2 linked regions of the Astyanax mexicanus genome follow. The protein of the gene in region 1 interacts with the protein of each later gene in a biochemical or structural test. Links are inferred from orthologs where the notes say so. Each region holds a gene or a part of one and is shown on either strand. Other genes may lie near its edges. The genes, in order: mettl22 and kin.

Region 1 (10,290 bases):
AGTGCTGTTCTCACAGAATGAGACAAGCATTTGAATCCACAGAGCTAAGCTAGACTGAAACAGAAACATGAACTGGGACAACATTTCTGGACTAGTCTGTGTACTTACATGTATGTAATAGTGTGTGTGATAAGTTGAGTATAAACTTATCCAACAGCTATTGTCTAGTATGTAATTAGGGCTGATTGAGGACACACACATTTTTACACATGTGTAAGTACACTTGCTCTATTACATGTGTAAGTACACTCACCCTGGTACACATGTGTACTTAGACAAGTCAAAATTAACATTAATACACGTGTAATTACATAAACTGTTCCTCGGTAGTTAATCTGTAACAATGTGTACTTCATCAGTAGTTACACTGTAGTTACATGGATTGTTACTGTGTAACTACATAGTACTTAGGGACACTTATTATAAAGTGGGACCGCATTTTTTCTTCCTTTAATCATTATGGGACAACATTCTGACTCTCTTGTAGATTATGTCATCAAGCATTGTACTTTTTTGTAATTTAATGTAAACGTAAATTGTTAAAATATATAAAAAGCACTTTTATTGTTGAAACATTACACTTTATCACAAACTGGGTATCCAGTAGACAGATCCACTTTGTTTCTGGTCCTGAAGTCTGCGCTGCAAACAAACTCAATGAAGGCAGTCTGAGACTGACACTTGGTCTGGGGGAAGGATGCAGGTTTACCACATGAATAGGCTTAAGTCTAAAGGGAAGGGAATTGAATCACTGAACCCATGCTTTTTACAGTCAGAAGCTGAATGCATTCATTATAATAGGCTGTCCACAAACACTTGAACAGAATCAGAAGTGCAGATCACTGACTGTGTCCACACTGTATCTCTCAGGCTCATCAATCTAATGAAGTATCAGACCCAAGCCTGATTTTCTGTGGGATTTCTTGAGTACACTTTTCAATCATCATTATTTTCTAAGCGCTCACATCTGGACATGCATGGAGACGTTGACTGAGGGAAATGTATCCAGGCGTGGCAGAGCGGATCGTTATTATTCTAGTGCTGGAGTCAATTTTACTTCTGAAGACGAAGGTACTCTAGATAAACCGCAGCTGATGATGATGCTCTGAGTGTGTTCTGTGCTTTAATGTGGCATGGTGCTCCAACAGGCTTCCCTTCAATGATCTCATTACCAGCTCAAACTACTGTTAAGTGCAATTATTTCATTATTCATGAAAGCTTTCTGGCTTTCTGAGGAGATCCACTTGCGGAAGGAACAGAAGAGTCAAAGTAAAATAAGTGACAAAATCAGGAGTTTCCAAAACGTTCTCTGTCCAATGGTGGAGTCTGACTTTGTGTCATTTCATTTACCACCCCATATAAGAAAATAGAAAATTAATACTACAGAATTCTACCTAAACCATGTAAATCCAAGAAATGTGTAATGTAGTGAAACTGGAGAAGATTAGATACATGAGATATGGTTCAATCCAAAAATTCTATATGGTTATGGGCCTCCCTTTTCATATGTTCAAAATACAAAATTTAAGAGACCAAGTTTCTGAATCAGTTTCTCTGAACATTGTTGTTTTAATTATATAACCTTTATTCTATGACCTGTTTTAAAGTTTGAAGATGTAGGAAAAATAGTTACAAGTATTTTTTTTTGTAAAAAAAAAAAAACCTTCTCCTGCTTGCTTTAATTAGAGTAATCAACATATAATATGAAAATTGTTCATCTCACATATTGGCAAAATTGCAAAAACTAAACTGAAACAAAATTGTAATGTTATGTTTAAATTATGTTATGTTATGTAAAACTATTGTGTTTTATATGTTGGTGTTTCAAAAGGAATAAAGTAGTGATATATATATATATATATATATATATATTTCTTTTTTTTTTGGGGGGGGGGGGGGATTTGTGAATTATACTTATCGATTATCCCATTACCTGTTAGAGGTAAGGAACATCATTGCACTAAATATTGATAGAATAATTAGTAATGGAGTTAGTAATGAAATATTAACACTGCTTGTAAGGTTTTTTTTTAATCTTTTGAATAATTAAAAGTGCACCGGGTCAAACTGACCCTAGAAGACCTTTGCTGTTCCTGACAAATGAACATAACAGGAGGGTTATTTATGCATAAAGTTGAACAAATCAGACCAATTTGTTTACTCAGCCATTTAAATCGCTAATATATTACAGAAAGAAAGTAATTAAAACCTCTGAACTAGGATTAACATACAGTAACAGTCAAACGTTTGGACACACCTTGAATTCACTAGTTTTTTTTTTTCATTATTTTTAAATCTTCTGCACTGTAGATTAATACTAAGCTCATTGGAAATATTTAATAAACATAAAAAGGTGTTAAACAAACCAGAATATGTTTTATATTTTAGATTCTTTAAACTAGCACCTCTTGCTTAGATTAGACAGTTTTGCACATCTTGGCTGGATTTTCTTCGTCAGCTTTATGAGGTAGAGTCACCTGGAATTCCAGTGTTTCAGTTAACAGCTGTGCTGCTGAACTCATAAAGAGTTAATTACTTGTTGAATTTCTTGCCTCTTAATAAAATGTTTGAGAGCATCAGTTGTAAAGTAGTGAAGAGGTAGAGTTACAGGTATACAGTGAATAGTGAATATTTGAGTAATGTTGTAATCAGTATTATGGCAAGAATTACACAAGTAACTAAAGAAAAATATGTACATTAGGAAACGAAGGTCAGTCAGTCTGAAAAAGTTCAAAAACTTACAAGACCATCAAAAATTATATAATGAAACTGGTTCTAATCAGAGAAACAGTTACATCTGTTGAGTTACCAGCCTCAGAAGCCGCAAGTTACCAGCTCACCAGATAAGAGCACCTAAATGCTTCTTCACAGAGTGTTTTGGTTTGTTTAACATTTTTAAGTTACTACATGATTCCTTATGTGTTTCATCATAGTCTGAATGACTTCAGTATTCATTTACAATGTAAGAAATAATTATTATTATCGCTGTCATACAAAAATAGTCTCTTTTTGTTGATTTTTACTTTTTCACAAAATGCTGTTTATTGTCAGTTGTTCTTGATATTATGTCCAGATTTTATAATGAATGGACCAATAGAAAAGCAGCAATAAAATGCATTATCTATTACAAATTTAAAGAAAAGAAATAAAGCAGCTCTTACTCAGTATCTGCCTCTGAGAGTCTGTGAAGTTTCTTCCATTCCTGAATGGATTCATAAACGGCCAGCACTGGTTCTGAACTGCATAAAAAATTATAAAAGAACTTAAACACAAACTTATAAATATATATTATATAATAAATCATTTCTATCACACAGACAGTGAAGAGACTTACGGTTGCAGGTCCTCCACAGTCCAGAGTGTGAGCTGAGAGGAACAGAGGAGTTGGTGTCTCTTTTAGAGGTGTCAATAATGTACCAGAAATCCGTCCCAATGGCCAGAATCAGACACACGAAGCTCAGGACCCCGAAAGAGGCCACAGACACAGCCAGCCCCCCCAGAGTGAGCTTCATCCTCAGAGCTGAGGGTCTCCTGTGGGCTCCAGGCTGAGTACAGAACAGCAGTGAGAGCAGCTGGAGCGCCTGTGTGAGTGTGTGAGGGTGTGTGTGTGTGTGGCTGGTGTGTGTGTGAGGGTCTTTACTGCAGTGTGGGGTTGTGAACAGGAGGCGGCAGTGTGCTCTATTAACAGACCACTATAAATGATCCTCTCTCTCTATCTTTCTCCCCCACTCTGTATTTCTCTATTCATCCCTCCGCTTTTTATGTTCTCCCTCTCTTTCTCTTTCTCTCTATCAATATCCCTCGCTCTCTGTTTCTCCCATTACTCACTTGCTCTCTATCTAACCATACCTCCCTTCTCTCTCTGTCTATCTCTCTTTTTCTTTGGCCCTATCTTTCGCTACCTTTTTCTCTATTTCTCAATATCCCTCACTATATCTTTCTTCCACACTCTGTCTTTCTCTATTGTCCCTGCAGTTCTTGTTCTATCTCCCTCTCTCTCTCTCTCTCTCTCAATATCCCTCGCTCTCTGTTTCTCACCTGCATTCTTTATCCTTGCCTCTCTTTCTCTCTCTCTCTTTCTCCCCACTCTGTATTTCTCTATTCATCCCTCTGCTTTTTATGTTCTCCCTCTCTTTCTCTTTCTCTCTGTCAATATCCCTCGCTCTTTATTTCTCCCATTCCGTACTTGCTCTCTATCTAACCATACCTCTCTATGTCTTTATTTCTCTCTCTGTCTATCTCTCTCTCTCTCTGCCCCATCTTACCTTTTTCTCTATATCTCAGTCTTTCAATATATCTCAAGTCCCTCACTATTTCTCTCTCTTTTCCCTTTTCTTTCCTCTTTCCCTTTGTCCTATTCTCCATCTCTCTGTTTCTCTCCTCATCTTCACTATATCTCTCATTCTTCTCTCTATTTCTCTCTGCCTGTTTGTTTCTCTATATGCTTTCCACCTTCTTTTCACTTCCCCTCTTTTTTCTCTCTCTCTCTCTCTCTCTCTCTGTTTTTTACTCAGTCTATCTGACACTTCTCTTTCTTCTTCTTCTATTCCACTTTCTCAACATTCTCTCTCTCTCTTTTCTTTCTCTACCATTATTCCATCTCCTTGTTTTTTTCTTTCTCTCTCTACATATCCGTCCTCTTCTTGCTCTCTCTTTCTCACTCTTTCTCAATATCACTCATTCTCTGTTTACCTTACTGTCTTTCTCCACCTTTAAATCTCCCCCCTCCCTCTGTCTCTATGTTTCTATCATCAGTCACCCCCACTTTGTCTAAGCTTATCTCTTCTGCTCTTCCCACTCTCTCGCTCTCTCTCTCTTACACACACTATCTCTCTTTTTCATTGCTCTGCTTCTCTCTTTCTTCATCTTTATGTATCGCTCCCCTTCTCACACTCCCTCTCTCTCACACACTTTCACTCTTAATATCCCTCATTCCTGCTCACTCTGTTCTCTCCTTAGTCTCTCCCAATCAGTCTTACACACCTCTCTTCACCACATCTATAGCACCACCAGTCAGTTGTGCTTTGCGCAGCTGGATTTAAGGCATGTCGGTGTGTCTTTGCTCTTCCTTTCCTGGGGCAGTCCTGATGAGAGCCAGTTTCATCATAACATTTTTAATGGTCTTTGCGACTGAAAAATGAAGATGCTTGAAGAAGTTCTTGAAATGTTTCGGATTGACTGACCTTCATTTCTTTCGTATTTCGTTTTCTTTAATTAGTTGAGAGTTCTTCTCATAATCTGGATTAGAACTCAAAATAGAGCTATTCACTGTATACCAACTGTACCTCTTCACAACTTTACAACTGATGCTCTCAAACTAATTAAAAGGCAAGAAATTCAGTACAGCTGTTACCTGAAAACCAATCCAGGTGACTCCACCTCATAAAGCTGACTGAGAAAATCCAGCCAAGAAAAAAAGATAAAAAGAAAATGCTCAGTATTAAAAAAAATACTAATGACAATATTGCAGATATTAGATGCTACACATGTATATACTAGTGCATCTCAAAAAATCTGAATATCATTGAAAAAAAATCATATTAATGGCACTCCTATTACTTTCTGTTACTGGAACTCATTGCTATTTCTGGCACTTATTAATATTACTTTTTATGTTTTGAGTAACAGGAATTAAAGTAATAGGAATGGGATTTAGCATATAATTAGCAAAAACATAGCATAGCAAAAGATAGTTAATAGCATGAGGAGACTATGCACATTTTAGTTATTTTACCAAAATTAGTATTTTAAAAATAAATAAAAATTAAACTAGTTAACTGGACAGAGTGTTGAGATGTTGAGTGTTGAGCTCCTCAGTCATAGTTAAAATAAGATCAAATACACAGAAAAGCAAATGAGGGAACTTAATTTATTTATTTATTTTCTCCATAATCTTAAGAAGAACCAACTGATGTCACTTCCTGTTGTAAATGTGACTTGTAGAATGTGCCAGATGTTTCAGATGGGGTAATGTGTTATGGTATCAGGACGGTGTGAAACCCAGGGACACAACAAAAATGTGTATTTTAACACAAATATGATTAATTTATTATGAAAAATATATTTTTAAGCATATATGGCATTTGAAATCTCACAACAATGCAAACAAATACATCTCTTTAGAGAGTGGGGACACGTAACAGATGCTATTTTTTTATTATTATTATTTTATTATTTATTAATGTTTTTAATTACATATCTTACTTTTCAATTAAGTCATGGTACAATACATTACGACTAATAATCTTTCCTGGGGACAGAAATGGTACCATTCGGTGGAATGGCCCATAGACATATACAGTATATTGCGTTGAGGGCTCCACAGCAGGTGCAGGAGGAACCAGGACAGGCGGAACTATTGTGCAGAGCGTCATGACTCACACGGTAATCTTTTTTTCCGGGCGCGCTGAATCTGGCTACGCTAGCTCTGTTTCTAAAAGCCTATCGGTGAAGTTTCGAGCTGATTTTAAGGTACAGAAAGAGAAGCTTGAGTTAAGAAAGGAGTTGTGCTTTATTGTCCTCCTCTCCAGCGGGTGGAGAGAGGGCTGAATAAGCTGGAGTTGAGCTGCAGAGCGGAGATTTCATCGGGATAAGGGGGTGTGTCTCCTCTAGCTTTAGCCAGCTAACCTCACTGACTTTAACCCTAAAGCTGATTAATGACTGATTATACAGCGAAAATAATTACTGAGCTACCGAAAAAGAGTTCAGAGTATCCACAGAAATGTGCTGTTATTCCAGTAAAGAATAAATAAAAGTAGTTAACTAAAGCTGGGTAACAGAAAGCAGCTCGAGTAGCGTTAATAACCTTTCAGGTAGGTGTAGGTTAGGTCAGTGTGTCTCTGATACAGGTGGCCGATACTACCGCTGTTATTTTAGATTCGGTACCAAATAATACCGTGTATAATATACCGATACTGATATGAAAATTTGTCCTGTACATGAAACAGAAAAAACAAACAAACAAAACAAACACAAATCTTCTGAAAGCCAGGAAATGGTCAGTATTAAAAAATAAAATCGTTGTGTTTTTCAGTATGTTACATACACACACTTTCAGAGCCCCCAAAGTAAAAAACATTATAGTTAAAAGATAATAAATAAAGAAAGTAAAGGATGCAGCTCTGGAAATGAATTATACAATTGAGGAAATGTTTTTAGCAAATTGAGAGAACAATTTATTTAATCATAGAATGAATAGTAATGTTGAGGCAACAATTCCTTACATATGGAAAACATAATTTATTGAATTGAGATTTTTCTAACCTAATTAATCACATATTGTTAGACCTAGGGAAATATTAATTATATTAATGGAGCCATTTATTCATATGAATAAACTTTTTTATATTATATTATTTTATATTATTGCCAGTAGGACAAATCTGAGCCAGTGATTGGGTAGCATATAGTGGCTAATTGCTTTCATTAGAACCTTGCTGACCTCACATACAGCTGAAAAAAGGGTAACTAAAGTGCTGTTGCCAGTTACATCTCTATTAGTACACTTTTCTGTATAGATGTTACACATTTATTACCTAAATTTACTACATCATCATTATCTGCACAGCTACCCTTTTAGATACAGTGTTTTCCCACTGCCGATGCCGATATAGGATATTACACGTGTGTATATATTTGCTAATGCAGATATACATATTTATTACTTACAAAGAGCCTAGACACCCCATTATAACTTTATAAATAAATGCAATATCTACCTGCCTTGTATTGTAGCTTTTAACTAACTTTATATAAACAATATAATGAAAAGTTGTTTTGTTTTTTGTTTTTTTTTTTACATTTTTTTTTCTATTGAAAGAAATAAAAATATTTGTTTTTAAATATCTTAAATCAATGGATTTTAGAAGCATGCCTAGTGTTGGACAGTTGTAATAGCATAGCCAGTATCGTTTGGTCCTTTTGGCATACAGTATAAATGGCAGCAAATATCAGTTTGAAATATCGAACAAATCTAGGCATTGGTCAGATGCCAATGAGTCTAGAAAATGCAATTATCGGCGGATACAGTTATAATTAGATACAGATATTGTTGTGCAACCCAAAATATAATGTGTATTTTTTTCATTTTATTAGTTTGGAACATGCTATCAGCTTATGGCTATGCAGGAAAAGAAAGCAAGATGTGTATTCAGGTGCATCTCAAAAAAGTAAATCATTGAAAAGTTACTATATTTCAGTAATTTATTCAAAATGTGAAATGTATACTGTATATTATATAGATGTATTACACACAGAGTGATCTACTTTAAGCATTTATTAATTTTATCATTGATGATTATGACTTCCATACTTAATAAAAACCCAAAAGTCAGTATTTCAGAAAGTAAGCATAATATATAAGACCAATTGGTACTTTTAACAGTGTGAGCAGTGTGCAGAGTCCTGCTGGAAAATGAAATCCGCATCTCTATAAAAGTTGTCAGTAGCAGAGGTTCAGCATGAAGTGCTGTAAGATTTTGTGGGAAAACAAAACTGCACTGACTTTAGACTTGATAATAAAACACAGTGGATCAACACCAGCAGATGACATGCCTCTTCAAAACCACTATTAGCAGTAGAGTGTGCTAGTTTAATTTCCTGTAAACCCTTAATTTCCTGTTAACCATGAAAAAGCCCTATTTTTTAAAAGTATTTGTTCTCTAGGTCATGCACAAAAACATCTGTGTCCACTGTTATGTTAGAATGCCAGCTGCCCTTTAGCTTGTGTACGGTAGTCTTTTCATGATGAATTGACTATAGGATAGGTCCATATTGATTTTAATAAAGGTTAATTCTGTCTTTATTTTTATTTCAGAGATCTAAGTGCCATTGTCTATCCGTCTAAATCAGTGATATACCTTTTGTATTTGCTTGTTTTCAGGAACAGTGGGCGGAGAAAGGACATACAGGGGTGGCCATGGACCAGGTCACCTTCCAGAGTGACACAGTGCTCTCAGATGTGCACATTTTGCTGCCAAATGTTCGTCACCTCATGGTTCGACTCAATAGCGTAGGACAGCCAGGTAAGGGGTGGGTGGGTTCACATGATAGTCTGGTCTGGCCATTCATGTATCAGTTTTTGTATTTTATTATTATTTTACTGTCCACTGTGGGTGGTAATGCCTTCTATAAGGAATTCCTGGTATGCACATGATGCGGTGGACGTTAAATACTAAAATCTCTGAACATTTTAATTAGAGGTACTGAATATTTATACGGACAATTATGCATAATAACCAAAAACATAGACATAGACAAACATAGTTTTTTCCCTCTATGGCTGTTGCCTATGGATGGCTGTGGCATCACCAAGAATCTTCCTTTGACAGCACCTTTGCATCTTGGGAGCACAAATACTTTTTTTTTCTTTCTTAATTTTTTATATCTAAATAATCGTAAAGGACATGCCCTGCACATGCATTTCTGGACAAGCTGCAATATTCAGAACCACAAATATGACTGTCATATGAATGTCATATATGTCATTACACAGTTGTCGTATGCATTTTCTTGTCTGCTTCAACAGAGTTACACAGTGCAGTTAGCAGTGTGCTGAGCTTTAGGCTGAAAGAAATAGAGATGCTTTTCTCTCTATTGTAATGGAACTAATGCAACTTATGATTATTTTGGTATTTTGGTAGTCGACTAATCTGACGATTATTTTTTTGATTAATCAATTAGTCAGCGATTATTTCTGCAATCTCTAAAAACGATAGAAACAGCAGAACATGAAATTTAAATGGCATTTAGATGTCTGAATGTGGTTTAAACATGAAAAGTACTGATATTTAGTAATTAAAAATGTAATCTCTTGTGTTTTGGGCATTTTTGGAAACACAAACTAAGTTGAGGGTAAACTGTGTGAGTGAGCTGTTTACCCATCTCCCATTGCGCTTCTGTCACCAGCACTCTGTGTAATGCGGTACTGTTACAAATTACTGATTAGTTGACATTGAAATTTGTAGTTGACAAATTTTAAAAATCGACATTGTCGATTATATCGACTAATCGTTACAGCCCTACATGTTGTTGAAACACAATGTTTTGTTAAGGGAAAATTTTCTATGCTTCCTGTTGTTGTTTTTATGCTTCAAGAGAGCTTCTTTTTTTTCCCGCCACCCCTTCTCTTTGGAGGAGTAATAAAGCTTTATTAGTGTTTATACAGAGTTATAGTTTCTGTGGTCATTATGCATATAATAGAAAGATAATAATATAAGCAAAATACCAGGCAAAAAAGGAGGAGTGAATATAAAGAAACCCTCAGAAATTAGGGGGAAAAAGATGGAAAAT
Region 2 (10,355 bases), on another chromosome or scaffold:
TGAATCTGATAAAGAATGCGGACACACAATCTTTAACAATAAAATGTGTGTCAGGTGCTGACAGCTCTAATGTGTAGGGCTAAATTACTGAATTAACTCTGAGCTGACGTATTTGTTAGCTCAAAATAGATTTTCTCTGTCAATAAATGTAAACAAATATTTGTAGACCAAATTTCCATGACTTTTCCAAAACTTTCTGTGAATTTTGTATTTTTTAAAAACGTATCCAGGCATGAAAATTGCTACCTTTAAATTTCAAGATTTTTCTAAATTTTTTCATAACAGTACGAACCCTGTTGTACGATGCTTTTCCCATAATAATAAATGGGGTGCAAAATTATGAGCGCCCGTCTATGGCGTCAAAACACCTGATAAGTGGAAAATGAAGCTTGAGAGCAATATTTTGTTTAGCGCACACACAATTTCCTTTTTTTTTTTTAGCTCGCAAGCGTCTTATCTGTGCTCACGAGAAATTAATTTACACATGCAAAATGTTAAAACACGCTGGTTAATTTTTTTCACCTGGTATTTTTGTGGCCACGACTTTTGACATTGATGCGACTCCATACCCTTCTTATTTTCAGAATCATACAAATACAAAGGGAACACGCATTCATACACCTGGGATAACAGTCTTCTATTCTTGCATGAAAGTCTTTTTACTGTATTTAGGGCAACCTTGGTTTAGAGGGACCTAAGGAGGAGGAGCTGCTGCCACCTAGGTTGAAGGCCACCTTCTCCTCCTCGCTCTCTCTCTTCAGCTCAGTGAACACCGGCTCTTCCTACACAGGAAATACAGGAACGTGGTTAAAATATAAAACTGGACAACTCAGAAACAGAATTCATAGCACTGAGAGCTGCGGTACCTCTGGCTCTTTGCCCTCTCTGCCTCGCCGCACTTGCTCTTCGATAAACTTGGCGCTGCGCTCTTCATCGTCCAGATCCTGCTTCTTCTTCTTCTCCAGCTCCTCCTGTCTGCGAATGGTCTCCGGGTCCCGGTCGATGTACTGAATATACCAGCCTTTCGGGGTCTCGTCCACTTTACAAAACCCTACATATGCACATGTGTCAGACAATAGATAACGTATTACCTTCAGGGTCTTGTTGATGCTCCTCTGACTCTAGTGAGGAGAAGAATGGTGTCTTTGTAATTCTCACTCTAAGCCGAAATGCTTTGTACATTCTATTTTTTGTACATTCGATAATTATGGTATTTCACCATGTATAGCACCACTGTCAATCTAAACTATAAGTCAGAAAGACAGAAAAAGTAGTCAATTACAAAAAGCAAGTTTGGCGTTAAACATTTACTCTGAAGTTATAAGTTATTCTGTATATTTTTTTCAGCCCCAGCTGCTTTTTTGAACAGGGCACAATTAGAACAGAGGTCATTTACACACACTGACTAGGGATGCACAGTAATGTCGGAGATATATTGTATTGGTCGATTAATGCTTTTTGTAGAATCATCTGCATCAGCCGATATGGCCAATATTTAAAATCAATTCTAGTTAACGTATTTAATGTATGCCCCAAAAAGCAGGACCAACTGGATAACAGTGGCTGTGATAGTTTTAAAAAGCTATTTTTTATTTATTTTTTATTACTTTTATAGGTATACCAAGATGTCTAGTCTCTCTGTAAGTGATACATATGTATAAATGGATGGGACATATCATTTCTTAAGTTGTGCAGGGGTTTAACATTCCTCCATGTAAAGTGTCACATATGTACCCGCAATTGTTTCATTAAATGCATAACTCAAACATGTTTGTATATTTCTGTGCTTACCTTCTCTCCCCAACCATTTGGTGAAATCTGTAAGGGTCTCCCACTGAGTGGAGTTCATGTGAACGTGTTCCCGGTGACTAATGTACTCATTATATACAATGTTGTTGTGGACTCTCTTCGTCCCTGTAAACACACAAAAACACAGACCCTGTTTAACAGACAGGTATTACTGAGAGTAAATAACAGCATACTGATCATTTAACCATCATTTAATACGCTGATCATCACATGAAACCATGCCTCACCAAAACGTCTTCTCAGCAGCTCCAGAAAGTCACTCTTAAACTCCCTGTACAGAAAATTAAAACAGGTTATCAACTTCAGTCACAGATTATTAACGTAAGTAGTGTTGTATTAATGACTGGTGACTAGGGGTGTCACGATCTCGATATTTTATCGAAATCGAATCTAAATGAGGTCACGATCTCGAGTATCGAAGTCAAAAAGAGGATCGACGATCCCTCCTGCGCGCGCTACGCAAATAGCGCAGCGCGCTACGCAAATGGCGCGGCACCAACACAGCGCATCCTATTCATTTAAATAGAGAGCCGCTGCATGAGCGCAGTCGGCGGGAGTGTGATCACTGTTTTTATCTGTCCAACGGGGGAGGGGGGGCGGGGGTTGGGCGCGCAGGTTTTGTATCTGTATCTAACGGAGGGGTGGGTGCGCGCAGGTGAGAGCGTGTGAACTCGCTGAAATGCGTGTGTCAGTGTGACTTGAGAACACTGACTATAGATCACAGTGAGGTGGATTAAAAATCTTAAACTTATAATTGACTACACCTGTTGCTTTCCATTGAATTAAAAAAACATCTTTCTCTCAGATAAAGTAAACACAAGCGTGTTTCTGACTAAAATAAAAGCTTTTCAGGAGAGATATAAGTTATGTGTAAATATTTATAAGACAATACCTGACAAAATCTGTTTTAATGACGTTAATAAACATCACTTATCTAACCAGCCTGTACTGATTTCTGCCCCCCAATAATGCTTTCAATAACCTCTAATAGCCTTTAATAGTCTTCAGTAGCCTTTAAAAGACTTACCTGGCGGCCGTGGTGTGTCCACTAAACTCCGTAGTTATAAACATCCTGAGGTTAGCAGCGCGCTAACTGACCTGTTTATAATGTAATCCGAGCAGTGACTCCGTGTCGACTGTTCTAACCTGCTGCTGTTAGCTGCTTGGGCTGAAAGATGAACTGTAGTGAGCTGTATTATCCGGTTAGTGGGGTTAAAACCTTTATTTGTTTACAGAAACAGTAAAAACGGACTGGCTGAGCTCTGTAGCCCGTGGCTGGGCTGTACTGAAGTAGTGACTGAGTGAAGAGAGCGGGGTGCTGCTGCTGCTAGTGGTTGGATGAAGAACTGCAGCTTCATGTAATGAGCAGTTTCACCAGCCATCCACACACAGCTCTGATAAACTGCTTGTTTTAATAGTGCACACTGTTGCTACCAAAAAAAGTCACTAGATGGCATTACCATATATATCTTAATAAATAATAATAATAATAATAATATTTATAATATTTATAATAATAATAATAATAAATATATTATTTAAATTTTATGAGGCATAAAATAATAACAAGAAAAAAAAAACAAGAAAATCGAGAATCGAATCGAATCGTGACCCTCAAATCGAAAATGAAATCGAATCGAGGATTTAGAGAATCGTGACACCCCTACTGGTGACCTTCAGAAACAGGGGGACTCACTCTGAGAAGTAGCTCATGAACTGGTTGGGATCCTCAGAGGCGAGCAGCAGCTGTCTCTGGTGGGACTCGGACATGCAGTGGCATTTAAATCCATTCTAATTGAGAAAGACAGAGCATCAACATCACTGTTCTAAGCATTGGACGGTATACTATGGCACAATTCTAATTCCTACCCCTTTGTTTGAGTGGAACACTTCCCCTTGGAACAGAGTTTAAATAAGAATCCTCCCACTAAAAATTAAGACAACCCTTCAAGATCCAGATACAGATATACAGTGTTGGAGCTCTACATTTTAATAACCTAGCTGCTGGTTAATTAGCTAATTTTAGAGCATTGTATCTCTTCAAAAAACACTATAAAATACTAAGTACCGTAAGATTATCTTTAAATGCGGTGATGTAATATTTTTGCAGTATCGCTCAGTTCTATCAGTGTGTGATTACCTACACCAAGGGCAATGGCTTTTACATCAATATAGAAAATTATATAATTTTATGATGAAGACATATATCATTACATAAATTTTGGTCTGGGTTGAATTTAATCTCTAGCCCAGCACAGAGCATTCTACTCTAGCTAAAAGGGTCTAAACCCCAAGTATGTAGAGCAGTGGAACTGTGTTCTCTGAAAAGATGGAGCTCCATCCAATACTTTTGAATAAGATTAGTTGGGAAGCTGGGGAAATATTACAGTAATATTTTCTGAATCTAGAAAAAGTCTTTCCTAAATATAAAGACAGTGACTCCAACAAAAGCAGCGTAAATTATGTTTTAATACCCTTTACTTAAAAAAAACTATGAGTAAGTGTGTCACAACAGCTTTGTGTATATTTTACACTAATATGACTCAGTAACGTAAATAACGTTTGTTAGCTAGTTAGCTAGCTTAGAATTTATATATGAGAGTTTGTCAATATCACGATACTCAGACACTCATCACGTATCAAAGTGTATAAACTACAACCAAAGAAAACAGAAAACCGTACAGAAACTAAAATAAAAATAACACTAATATACCTAAGCTAACTAACAGCTACTTAATAAAGGAAAACTGTAGTTAACTCACTTCATCTCGACACTGTTTCTGGCACATCTGACAGTACCAGCGCAGCTTCTGCAGCCCTTTAGCTTTAATTCGGTTCCCTATCGCTTTAGGGCTCAGGAAATCCGCCTTTCCCATGTTCAACCCTGACTACACACCTATAAACAAAGCGTTAATTTACTATTAAACTAAACTAGTTAACAGTTCCAGAGCCCCGTTCCTGCGTTTCTGTTCTGTTCTTCTGCCTCGCCGCTTCGTGTTTGTGTGTGTATGCGCTCTACGTCATCACTTCGTGTGTATCTGTAATAGCTAGAGAACAGAATGAATCACTCCATTGAATCGGTTCCTTTCAATTAGTCAAACCTTTTCAATTTTTTTACCCAAACTGTGAAGCTTTAGTAAAGATTTCTGTTGTTTACGACTAAATTATGGACTGAAGACTTTTAATACGGTGAGTACTCTTAATAAGTATTTTTTCCTTCAGTCTGATGTTTTAATTTAATTTAATAAAATATAACGTAATTTTCTCCATTGCGCATCAAAAACAGCACATAGCTTCATTCGACGAAAAGGGGGATTTTATATAATCCTACACATTAAATGTATATACAGTAAATAAATATTCATTTCAAATCATAATAAAAAACATCATTATAAATGTACAGAAAACGTCACCTAAAAAATCATAATCTAAATTAGGAAACTTAATTAGAAATGTAGTTTTGCAAATGTAATGTACCTGTATGTTTTCAGCAGATATAAGTAGGTTTTAAGCCTGATTTAAAAAAATAAGCTTTAAATAATATTAAATGTGTGTAAAATAACAAATAATCAAATATATATTTTTTTAATGGTTGATATGAATTTCCCCACAGATTGACTTTTTAAAATAATTATTAAATATTCATAAATGTAATCCACAGTAGTATACCATTTTGATTTTTTTTATTAAACGTTTAATATATTATTAAAGTGAGTCGATTCAAACGTGAATCTACCGTTTTTGAATAAGAACCTGAATCACCTGAAGAATCGGTTCAGTAAACTGAGTCGAACGTCAGCCGGATTCGACATTTTGTAGGCGCTGTACGCATGCGCAGTGCGGCCAGTCTGACCTTCATTGGAAGTGAACATGTTCTGCAGGGCCAGCGCGGTGGTGTTCCTCCCACAATGGTAAAGCCTTTAAAACTCTTCATTTTTACATTTTCTGATTAATGACATTGTGTAAAGCAGTATTACTGTGCAGTGAAGGTGTTCAGGGCCCGGTTCTGTCTGTTATTCGGGTCAGAAGCTCGCAAGGACGAGCCGGTCCCGGTAGGCCTCAGTAGCTTAACGTCAACGGCTGGATTAAGCCTGAGAGTGTGAACTTCACCAGTCTGAGTATTATAATCAATATTAACCCTCTGCATTTATCCACTGCCCTATATTACCCAAAATATAATAAAATAATTAACACACGGGTTTACATAGTTAAATAGCTGTGTAAATTGTAGTTGGGTTTAGCAGTTTGACCTGTTTGTATTAGAGCTACACATGCTTGATGACTGCTTCATATCATCTAGTATTAGGGCCTAAATATATAGATAGTTTAAGTGTAAAATGTAAGTGATGCTGGTCCCTATAAGAAAACTGAAGCTGTTTAATATAACTGATTGAATCCTCTCCTTGTTGCAGTGGGCAGGTCAGGAACATGGCTACCTTGAAGGACAGTAAGTAAACTAAAGCATTTATATTTATACATACAGAGATTTTCATTAAACATATAATTATCTATTTTAGTTTGGGATGCAATGATGTGGGAATTCTGTACAGATGCATATATCTGATATACACACTGATATGTCTGATACACACAGACTACACATCAGTATAGCTTTTATGACTTTATATCTAAATACTACAAATTAGTTGTTTGTGCTGCTGTTAAAGTGTTTTAAACTGTACAATTTTAAGTAGAAAAAATAGCTGAGGGATAATTGACTTAAAAGCTCCTTGTGATGAACCTCAGTCAGTTGATGTACTGTATGTATTTGTATGTAAGGACTTTTTTTTAAAGCTGCATATTTATTTACCTAAAAATTACAAAGCATTTATAGAAGATGCAAAATACTTATTTTTATTGCAGTAAAATAACTTATTTACATTCTGAAAATTTGAGGCCTTTAAAATCCAACTGGACACTTGAGCTACCTGTTCATGCTCTACTCCACTAAATAATTCCAGGTCAGTGACAGGAATCAAACCCAAATTATGCATGTCTGAAAATGTAAGGAATGTTTTGGAGGAGATGAACAGTTTCATTTATATTCAGGAAAATATTGATTTTAAAATGAAGTTTAGGAATAAAACAATTTTAAGATTTTATTCGTTATATTTTGACATATTTAAGTAAATATTTTTTAAATATTTTCTATTACAATTACAATTCTGCTTTTCAGTAATGTTCCTTATAAAACATTAAAGCTTTTTTTGTAATGTTAGAATAGAAATCCTCAAGATTTAGAGGTGTAATGTCAGGCAGACAGTTGACAAAAATCTTGGCATATTAGGTGATATAAATATTAACCTTTAGTAACGTGTTTTTTTTGTATTTTGTATTTTGATCAAAAGTTTACTTAGTTAGTTTCAAATAAAATAAAATAGTCCAAATAAAATGAAATGCTGGTTTTACATTTTAATACGATTTGCCATGAGACTTTTATTGTGAAACCCAAACTGGCAGGTTAGCCATAATGCTAACTGATTTCTGAATTGAATTAATAGCTATTGTTTGATAACAGATGGATAGCACTGTGCTGTTTAGATTAGTAGGATCTGTGGTTTAATAAAAAAGTGGATTATGGCTATATTTCACTCCGTTCTTTAGTTATTGACCACAGAATGCTGGAATGCTAGTTTACAGCTAACTTTAGCAGTAAGGACTGGAGCATGTTAGCCTGCATGCTAACTGTTTTCTGAGATTAATGAATGGCTATTTTGTGCTGTCCTTAAGATGTAACTTTGCTGGCTAGTAGCTACATATGGACGGTTCTACTGTTTGATATGACATGTATGATGTCTGTACTGTATTACTCTGGTCTTCAGTTATGAAGTTCAGAACTCCTAGCAGAGCTGTTCTGTTTGCCCCCAGTGAACATCACTGTAGCCATAGTGCCATAGTAGCCACAGTGTTTGGTCCTTTTCCAGCATACAATTCATGCTTTAGCGAGGACCAGGTTGGAAATAATGGGAGGAAAAAAGCATTTATCAGCAATTACTGATATAATTCCGATATCATTGTGCATCTAATGTTATTCAGTTTAATTGTGTTGATTTGCTTGCATGTAACATCTGTTTTATGGCATATTGACTGACTGGGGGTATGACCCGGTGATGCGTTTTTGTTCATTTCTTTTCTGTTTTGATCTTTAGTCACCATTCGGTTGAAGTCCGTCAAGAACATCCAGAAGATCACCAAGTCCATGAAGATGGTGGCCGCCGCCAAGTATGCTAGGGCTGAGAGGGCCTTGAAGCCAGCTCGTGTCTATGGCACTGGTGCTCTCTGTAAGTTTCCTTGAATAGATTTAGCCTGTTAATTGCAAAATATCTCATTGCTATAACATCAGACTATAATCCACCAATGAGACCTGCTGACAAATCACAAATGTGCAGAATGAGTTTCCCAAACTCAAATAATCTTGACAGTATGGTGCTTTATCGCTGCCATGCTGTGATGCCACAACATTGATACAACAAGTTTTGTTCATAAAGAATGATTTAATTGTATTGTCATTATGTTAAAAATATCTCTGGCGGGGGGGGGAAACAGGCCTATTTAGATATATACAGCAGCTCAGCTTTCATTAGCTCATATTGTGATTTCATTCATACTGTGATGTTATTGTGATTTATTGTCACTGTAATATTTGTACTGTGTGTGTTGCAGCGCTGTATGAGAAGGCTGACATAAAGGCTACAGATGATAAGAACAAGCACTTGCTCATTGGCGTGTCGTCTGATCGTGGGCTGTGCGGTGCCATCCACAGCAGCGTGGCTAAAGCCATGAAGAATGAAATCGCCAAGCTCTCCGGTGCTGGCAAAGAGGTGATGGTGGTGAATGTGGGAGACAAGCTGAGGGGTCTGCTGTACAGGTACGGCTTCTTTCTCCTGTTATTTTATTGTCTCTTACTGCCTCTCACTGGAATTTTACCTTGTAGGAGCTGAATTGGTTTTATGGAATGTTATTTGTGAATCTAACATCTTCATTTGGGTTTAATGTCTTCTTTGCACCAAAATAAAAGCTTTTGATTGAACAAAAAGAAACATGGCTGATGGCTGAATTTGAAGATCAAACCTAGTATACATGTTTAAAAAAAATCAGATAACCAGTATAAATATTTGTCCAAATAGTTTTAGTCGTTGAATATTATGAGTAGACATTTAATAACTAACAATTACCATTTGTAATCGTAAAGGTATCATTGTCAGACTCTAGGACTAGAGAAGGACTGCTGTTCAGCCAACTACAGAAGAGCATTCTGTACCATTTAATTGGTATAAAATCCACAGTCATTAATGTTGGGCAAACAGGCAAAAACTGTACACTGGAGGAATTTATAAATATCAGTAACAAATACAAATTCAAATAAATAATTTAAAATAAGTAATTAAATAAATAGGTAGTCAAGTAAAACAAGTAAAGTAAACCTTTTATTTTTTTTTTTTAATAAATAATAATAAAAAAAATAATGACTGACAATAATTATTATTTTTTAATGACATAATTATACCATCAATTCTGCTGCACAAAAGCCTCTAATTAAAGGGGGGCAGCCCGATTTAACCATCCTAAAACCTGTTTACCCAGTTCCTGGCAGCCAGGTGGCTAATGCTAAGCTAGAAATTTCCTCGCTACTAAATATTCCTTTAGTCAACTGTTGGTGATATTAACAAAATGAAAGCAACTGGGAACAAAAGCAACTTACTGTCAACTTAAAACTGCAAAGAGGGATCAGTGGATGCTGGGTAGCATAGTGTGCAGAGGTAGCATAGTGTGTGTGATTGTGATCTCTCTCTTGTTTTCTTCCTTCCAGGACCCATGGCAAACACATCCTCATGAACTGTAAAGAGGTGGGCAGAAAACCCCCAACTTTCACTGATGCTTCTGCCATTGCCATAGAGCTGCTGGACTCTGGCTATGAGTTTGACCAGGGCTCCATCATCTACAACAGATTCAGGTCAGTGTTATAAAGCACCTTTTGCAGAGCTCCAGAAGTACATGCAAATCTACCAGAAATGGATGTCCAGCATGACTTTAAATGAATGGTTCACTCTGTATAGCAGATTTTGGAGTAACATAAATGTTGGGTAGTTATAATCTGCCCCTGCTAGATATACACTGTACTGTGTGTTTAGCAACAAATAAAGAGAAAAGGGTGATAAAATAAAATCATGTAATTTTGCGTTGCACATGCTGTGATTTGATTTGACTACAAATTGCTATTAAGCATGCATAAATTGCACTGTACTTGTTTTCCTTGCCATATGGGTCTCCTGGAATGGATTGGATTATGTCTGCCTAGTAGATGCACTTGTTGCACTTATTTTAGGTGCACTGATTGCATTAATAAAATATTGGATGGTTCATTTCTGCAGTTCTTTTCAATGGGGTGCAGCCCCCAATATTTATTTATTTATTAAAACATTCAAGTTCAATATTTTGTCAGTATGTACAGTTACATTAACAATTTATGACAGTAAGGAGGAAAAATGGCTAATTCTGCAAAATTTGGCAGTTTAGACATTAGACATAAATGGCTGTGCGTTAAG

Evidence for each region.
Region 2: of the proteins of mettl22 (region 1) and kin, one has a biochemical effect on the other in vitro, tested with the Homo sapiens proteins (2 studies listed by BioGRID). The link is inferred for Astyanax mexicanus from reciprocal best matches to the Homo sapiens genes METTL22 and KIN.

The regions. Positions count from the first base shown.
Region 1 is NC_064426.1:5,594,423-5,604,712, reverse strand, and holds the start of mettl22 (methyltransferase-like protein 22), read left to right. Parts: upstream 1-6,477; 5' UTR 6,478-6,919; coding exon 6,920-6,997; intron 6,998-8,881; coding exon 8,882-9,023; intron 9,024-10,290. Other genes in the region: transmembrane protein 114, read right to left, coding at 3,162-3,239, 3,335-3,512. UniProt on the Homo sapiens protein: Protein N-lysine methyltransferase. Trimethylates KIN at Lys-135 (in vitro).
Region 2 is NC_064409.1:21,087,545-21,097,899, forward strand, and holds the start of kin (DNA/RNA-binding protein KIN17), read right to left. Parts: upstream 4,815-10,355; 5' UTR 4,686-4,814; coding exon 4,572-4,685; intron 3,601-4,571; coding exon 3,506-3,600; intron 2,081-3,505; coding exon 2,037-2,080; intron 1,915-2,036; coding exon 1,792-1,914; intron 1,052-1,791; coding exon 867-1,051; intron 783-866; coding exon 679-782; intron 1-678. Other genes in the region: atp5f1c (ATP synthase subunit gamma, mitochondrial), read left to right, coding at 5,680-5,720, 6,222-6,256, 7,959-8,090, 8,473-8,677, 9,620-9,763. UniProt on the Homo sapiens protein: Involved in DNA replication and the cellular response to DNA damage. May participate in DNA replication factories and create a bridge between DNA replication and repair mediated by high molecular weight complexes.